2 linked regions of the Caenorhabditis elegans genome follow. The protein of the gene in region 1 interacts with the protein of each later gene in a pairwise test. Each region holds a gene or a part of one and is shown in the gene's direction. Other genes may lie near its edges.

Region 1 (3,758 bases):
TCCTCCATCGGATTTCGAGTGACTTCCCACTCCCATATATGTCATCATTCCATATTTCCAGTTCCGGTGAGGGAATAATTCTCGACGTGCACGCGCAGCAGAAGCTCCATTGGGTCAAGATGGAGTCGATCGAGAACATCACACCGTGGAAGGCTCCTCCATATCAGCCGAAGCAGAGCCGAGAGAACTACCAAAATCGCCGATTTTAAATCATGTGCAATACAGAAAATGTCATTAATTTTTACTTCCAAGAGTTGTATTTTTATATATTCTACTGTTCCCCCCTCTCACCCAGTTACGTGTTCCATTCCTTTTTTCGCATTTTCTCTTTTAAAATATGAAGTATCGTGGAGAAAACGAACCGCTTTCCGTTACAACAGCAAAAGCCATCAATCCCTCCTCTTTTCGATCCGCTCTTTGAACTCTTTTCTGTACAAATTGAATGACCTCGTCTATCGTCACGCAAGCCTCTCCCTACTCCTATTCTACCATTATTATTATCCAGAAGTGTACACACACACAGAGGGACGGTAGGCCAATTAACTGCATTGAAATGTCACACGAGTGGATTCTACTGGATGACTGACTGGGAGAGAGACAAATGACCAACCGGACACTTCTTCCACCTTCATCAAGTACTTATGGCTTCTGCTTCTCCGCTTTTTTTTTCGAAACTTTCAAGGGTTCTTGAGGATCTCGATAATCTTCATATAATTCCTCATTTGTTAAAATATTTTGTTTCATGTTCGGGTCTCACTGTTCTATCTCGGGTCTCGACGCGATATAAACTTATCAGTTACCGTACCCTCGCGTACGGTAAGCGCTCAATCTTTTTCATTTTCTCCTGATATAATAAACCTGTTTCTGCCCATTTTAAAGCATTTCATAGGTTCAAAATTAAAAATATCAAGAAATTGTTGGGAAAATTGGAAAAAAATCCAAGGGTACGGTAAAAAGTTTCCCTCGTTCCAAGACCAAAAAATAACAGGAGGAGATACTGATTTGTCCTAAATATCTTTATTTCAACGGAAAATAAAGAACTATTATTTCAAAAATCAAGAAATTCCTGGATAATACGAAAAAAAAGTTTTTCCAGGAAAAGCCGAATTTTTTATCGATAATAATATTTTAACTTTAAAAAATGTGACGAATCTCAGGCAAACGAAACCCAAGTGGACCCCGACATGACTGGTTTGGGTTTTTCGTGGAATCCGCTTGGGTTTTACATGGGATCCATTTGGGTATAGTGGGATCCATTTGGGTATAGTGGGATCCATTTGGGTGGTTCAGACACCCAAAGGGATCCCATGCAAAACCCAAGTAGATCCCACTCAAACCCCAAGTAGATCCCACTCAAACCCCAAGTAGATCCCACTCAAAACCCAAGCGGATCCCACTCAAAACCCAAACCAGTCATGTCGTGCACGCTCAGGTATTTTTTGGGATCAGGATGGGTTTCGTTTGCCTGATAGTGAGATTGCATATAATTAAAACTCAACTCAATGCATCACCTTTAACGCGCAATTTCCTACAGTACTCGGAGTCTAATCTACTAACTTTTCCAATTTTATAGCTCCGAATGAACAACGAGCAACTACAATCCACGTCATCATCCCCATCAACTCTACTAAAACCAATTGAGAAAAAGTCGAGATTTCTGAGACTTTACTCATCAGATGGACAACGTAGTACACGTATAGAATGTGATGAGCACACAACTTGTGCTCAAATATGTCAACAATTTTCATGTGATGTGATTACTCTTCAAATTGGTAATTACCATTTTCGGTGAGTCATTTCCTCGTAATTGTAAAAAATGAGGATTTTTTCCGAAAGTAAGCTAATAAATTATTCCTTTCACAGTTAAATGGACCGCCCGTCAAGTTTAATTGAAATGAAATTACGGCCAACTGGAACTGGGTGAACACTCTTAGAATGACACGAGACATTATTGCATTAGGGTTTTTATAGTAGGCAGGTTCGGCGAGCGTGCCTGCCTACGTACCGACGTACCTGCGTGCGCCTACCGGCCTACAAATTCACAAATTTCTAGTTTTATCTTGTCAACGAATTTGTTGAAAATTCATCAAAGAAATTAAAAACTGGCAGGCGTATGCTTAGATGAAGCTCGTAGGCAGGCAGGCATTTTTTGGCAAAAACCGAAAATTCAAACGTTTTCCACTTTTTTCTGTAATTTTAAATTGAAGGTTTTTATGTCAAAATAAATAAAATAAAATGCTTTTAGAAAACAAATTTTGACATAAAAATCGTTAAAACAGCAGAAAGATTTTAAAAAAACCAGAACGAAAAAATGTTTGAAAAAGGTAAAATCTGCAAAAAAAAAACTGAAAAAGTGTACAATTGAAAAAGATCTACAATTTTGCCGCTAATACCTAATGAGACCCAAATTATATTGGGAATTCGACGTTAGAGCGCGCTTTTACTTTAACTGGAAAATTGTACTTGGCCATCAATTAAGGCGCATCGGTGTCGGTGTTTGCACAGTTTTGGAAACAGTGAGGTTCACCGAACTGATACGTCGCAAATTACACAAGAAAAATCATAAACTTATTCTAACCATCTCACAGGCAGCTAAAATCCGACACCTCTCCACTTGCGATTCTTCAAGATTTCTGCCGAATTCTAACAATGTCCGATGAGAATCTGGAGACTGAAAGCACATCGAAAGCCTTGGAAGATATTTTATCATACACTGATTCGCCGGCATTCCGCCATATTTTTAGCTTTTTTCTGGGCCGGCCAAGAATTCGTGCGAAGAGTACATTGAATTTGGATATTCTAAGTGAAGAAGTTGTGATACGAAAAGGAAAGCTAATTCACACGTGGCAAAATGCGCGAGCCGTATTTTACAATTCAAATATTCGATTGCAAACCAGTGAGTTATTGAAGGGCACCGACCAATCAGCGAGAAGCGGGGGCGTGGCCAACGTCGTTGATTGGTCAGAGCCTAGCTTGCGAGAGTTTGAAATGAAAACGCAGACACTTTTTTCAGAAAACAACCAAGATGAGGCTCTTCAAATTCGAAATATGAAAGTAGATGTACATGAGTCCAAAAGAGGTTTGACCAAAGATCTAGCCGTTAACTACCCAATGAATTCCACCAATTTTCAGGAAGAGCTCTTCGACTAAAAGATGATGATGTGTGTTATCTTATAATCTTTCAAAGACCGAATATTCTAGAAGCATGGCTTACACGGGCTCAACAAGTGGAGAAGAGTAACCACGTGGATGCAAGTGACGAGCAATTGACATTAATACCTGAACAGATTTTGAATAATGAAGCGAGAGTTCAAATTTTGAATTTAAGAAGAAACTCGCTGATTTCTAGGCCACCAACTGAAAAGGTACAAAAGGTTACTCTTCCAAACTTTACTTTCAAACGTGGTTTATCTAGAAATCAATGAATTTACTGGATACAAGAATTTATAGTTTTTAAACAGTAAATGCATTAATCTAGGCTGGAACAAATAAATACAAATGAATTAGGTTAATAGGTTCAAAACCATGAATTTCTGCCAAAAATTGCAAAGTAAAAAGCATACTTCTCCTCGAGAAGTACACGAGCTGCGTAAATCGAAACATAGCTGTCTGGCCTAAAATAAGTGGTATTTTGTAGCCAGTGCGAAGTTCCAAAAAACCATATCCAAAGCGGGCTAAATAATTAAAAACGCATGTTAATTTTCTGAAAATTAAAAAATTTCAGTCAATGGCTCCACTTGGCTACATAGATGACCTAT
Region 2 (3,758 bases), on another chromosome or scaffold:
GATTTGAAAAGCACTGAATGGCCGAATAGAATTGATTCTTATGAGTTTGGTATGCTTTTTTCAGTGATATTTCTCCATTGTTTGAGTTTTCAGGGGAATTTCTCGGTCAAGGATGCAATGCAGCAGTTTACTCTGCGAGATTAGCCAATTCTGATGCAGAATCCTCAGGGAATACTCACTATGGTGCAGGGTTTAATGAAGTCACAAATATACTTGCAGAAATTCCGCCAGTTAGCAAAGTTGCACAAAAGGTAGTTGATAATCTTAATTCGATGATTAATATTGAAAAATCATTGCAGAAATTCCCGTTGGCAATCAAATTAATGTTTAATTTTGAACATGATCGCGATGGAGATGCTCATCTCTTGAAATCAATGGGAAATGAATTGGCTCCATATCCGAATGCTGCAAAGTTGCTCAATGGACAAATGGGAACATTTAGACCTCTTCCAGCAAAACATCCAAATGTTGTTCGAATTCAGACAGCTTTTATTGATTCGTTAAAAGTTTTGCCAGATGCGATTGAACGGTTAGCTTTGAAATTTATTGATAATGATTGAGAATAAGATTTTCCAGATATCCAGATGCCCTTCACACTGCACGTTGGTATGAGTCAATTGCCTCCGAACCGAAAACAATGTACGTAGTAATGAGACGATACCGACAAACACTTCATGAATATGTATGGACTCGTCATCGAAATTATTGGACAGGACGAGTGATAATTGCTCAACTATTAGAAGCATGTACATATCTTCATAAGCATAAAGTTGCTCAGCGAGACATGAAAAGTGATAATATTCTTCTGGAATATGATTTTGACGACGAGATTCCCCAATTAGTTGTCGCCGATTTTGGATGTGCACTTGCATGTGACAATTGGCAAGTAGACTATGAATCAGATGAAGTTAGTCTTGGAGGAAATGCCAAGACAAAAGCACCAGAAATTGCGACGGCTGTTCCTGGAAAGAATGTGTATGTTTTGAAGTTTAGAGTACTGTATATAATCAAAGTTTTTACAGAAAAGTAAACTTCGAAATGGCAGATACATGGGCAGCTGGAGGCCTTTCTTATGAAGTTCTAACACGATCAAATCCATTCTACAAACTTCTTGATACTGCAACATACCAGGAATCAGAACTACCAGCACTCCCATCTCGTGTCAATTTTGTGGCACGAGATGTCATTTTTGACCTACTCAAGCGAGATCCTAATGAAAGAGTCAAGCCGAATATTGCTGCAAATGCGTTGAATTTGTCATTGTTCAGAATGGGAGAAGATGTGAAGCAGATGATGGAAAAATGTGGAATATCTCAAATGACTACTCTATTGGCTGGAAGTTCTAAAGTTTTGAGTCAAAAAATCAATAGTCGTCTGGACAAAGTGATGAATCTGATTACTGCTGAAACTATCATGGCCAACCTAGCTCCACATTTGATTAGTCGAGCAGAACGACAACTTCGAGCAACATTTCTTTCAAGAATGAATCGAGAAGATATTTGGAGAAGTCTTCAATATTTCTTCCCAGCTGGTGTTCAACTTGACACACCTGCCACATCATCAGACTGTTTGGAGACTATTTCCAGTTTGATGTCGAGTTTTTCAAATGATTCAGAAAATTACGAGAAGCAACAGAAACCGGCTAAAAATGGATACAACAATGTTCCACTTCTTCTCAGAAATGTTATCCGTACAGATGCGGATGGAATCAATGGAATTGTACATAGAGTTCGATCTAAATAGATTTGTTTTAACGATTACTGTAGTTTGAAACCTCTAGATTACATATGTAATAACCTTTTTTTTTTACTTGTTGGTATTTTTCAAATTGTACAATCACTTTTCATGCCAGTCTATTGCGTTCTTTTGTCTAATTACGGTTTATCATTCCCTCATTTATGGAAAATATCATACCTTATTACTTTTTATTGTTCAAATACTGGTGGTTTTTAACCATTTTATACTACTTCATTACATCCTATTATTTCAGATCTCAGATCCTCTAACTGTAACTTTTAGGTGTATGAGCAGTCTTTACGTGCCATTAGTTTTACGGCTCGAAGTGAGAGACCGGACAAAAATCGTGCAATCTTTTATCGACGACTCGAAAGCAGGAAGTGAATCCCCACTGGCAGGTGAACGGACTCGTCAGAGACTAGTCAAAAAAGGAAATACTCCTCCAAAAAAGGAACTGAAAGGCAGAGAAGAAGATCCGCCAATTGGAGTTATGGTATATAGATCAAATTTTATTGAGACTAAAAGCTTAATCTGATTTTCAGTCATCCGAGCCATCACACAACTACCACAAAGGACGACGGACCTATTCTGAAGTGGTCATCGAATCTTTAGATGGAGAAAAACTTGTTGACTCGAGTTCTTCGGTTGCCGGAACATCGGAAAAATCTGGTGGAAGATCTGTTTCAGAAGGACCACGTGAGTTTGAAACATGTGAGATGGAAAATGAAATCTAAAAATTTCAGCTGACCAAGTTGCCTATTATTCTGGAAATCCTCTCACGGAAAAGACCGAAGGAATTATGCATTTTTACAAGTACAATGATGAGAAGTTGACAAAAGTTGCACAGTGCCGAATGTTGTGTATGTATGCTGTACCAGCACAAGTTGAAGTTCGTGAGATTATATCATTCATGTGTATCTCACTTCCGATGATTGTTAGTATTAAAGTTGTTCGAGATCCAGCGCCAAATCAGTATATGTTGATTATCAAGTTCAAGGAACATGTAGGTTCAAGTTATACTAACGATTAATTGGCAAATATTTATTTCAGAATGATGCTGTAACATTCTACGAGGAATTCAACAATTGCCCGTTTAATGATCTCGAATCGTATTGTTGCACGCTTTTCTTTGTGGATAGAATTGAATGTGTAAGTTATTATTATTTTATTTCAATAATTCCAGATATTTCGAAACAATTTATAAATTTCAGACAACGTCGAATGATCTCTTCTCCTCCGATGATACATCTCTTACGGAGCTTCCAACTTGTGCAGTTTGTCTGGAACGAATGGATGATAGTGTTCTTGCAATTCTATGTAATCATTCATTTCATGCTCGTTGCCTGGAACAATGGGCAGACAATACTTGTCCAGTCTGTCGATATGTTCAATCTCCAGAAGTTGTCGCAGAGCAACGTTGTAATGATTGTGGAATGAGCAACGATCTATGGATTTGTCTAATTTGTGGAAATATAGGTTGTGGAAGATACGCAGAACAACATGCACAACGACATTGGGAGCTCACTTCACATACTTATAGTTTGAAAGTTGGAGGAGAACGAGTCTGGGATTATGCTGGAGACAATTACGTGCATAGATTGATTGAAAATGGAGCTGATGGGAAACTTGTCGAGTATCAGAGAGAATCGAATGCGGTATGTTCATACTGGACCAAAAAAAAATTGTTGATTTAAAAACAATAATTTTTTGTTAAAAAACTGGTGGAAACAAAAAAAAAGAATGTTTTGAGGCTTCAAAGTGCCGAAAATCAACCTTTTCGTATAACTAATTTGAATTTCGCGCACTAATTAGTTTTGAAAATTCTCGGCCGTGTACTCCTCTCGGGCAATGAATCAATTAATTTTTTTGGATGCAATTTTTCGGGTTTTCTCATTGAATTCTATTGGTTTTTGTTTGAAAACAAATATATATATATATATATATGCGTCTGTAAATGCGTTTCAAATTAATTATCACACAAATACTTTTGTTCTGCCTAGGAATAAGTGCTAAAATCCTGT

The links. The genes of interacting proteins can lie anywhere in the genome.
Region 2: the proteins of phlp-2 (region 1) and brap-2 interact in a two-hybrid assay, tested with the Caenorhabditis elegans proteins (one study listed by BioGRID).

What each region holds. Positions count from the first base shown.
Region 1 is NC_003281.10:4,207,913-4,211,670, forward strand, and holds the start of phlp-2 (Protein phosphatase PHLPP-like protein), read left to right. Parts: upstream 1-1,575; 5' UTR 1,576-1,579; coding exon 1,580-1,788; intron 1,789-2,588; coding exon 2,589-2,896; intron 2,897-3,013; coding exon 3,014-3,079; intron 3,080-3,132; coding exon 3,133-3,365; intron 3,366-3,724; coding exon 3,725-3,758. Other genes in the region: R74.8 (RING-type domain-containing protein), read left to right, coding at 1-209.
Region 2 is NC_003280.10:5,391,452-5,395,209, reverse strand, and holds the start of brap-2 (BRCA1-associated protein homolog 2), read left to right. Parts: upstream 1-2,019; 5' UTR 2,020-2,023; coding exon 2,024-2,230; intron 2,231-2,279; coding exon 2,280-2,433; intron 2,434-2,480; coding exon 2,481-2,740; intron 2,741-2,787; coding exon 2,788-2,886; intron 2,887-2,948; coding exon 2,949-3,392; intron 3,393-3,758. Other genes in the region: pink-1 (Serine/threonine-protein kinase pink-1, mitochondrial), read left to right, coding at 1-49, 94-251, 300-529, 577-975, 1,023-1,743.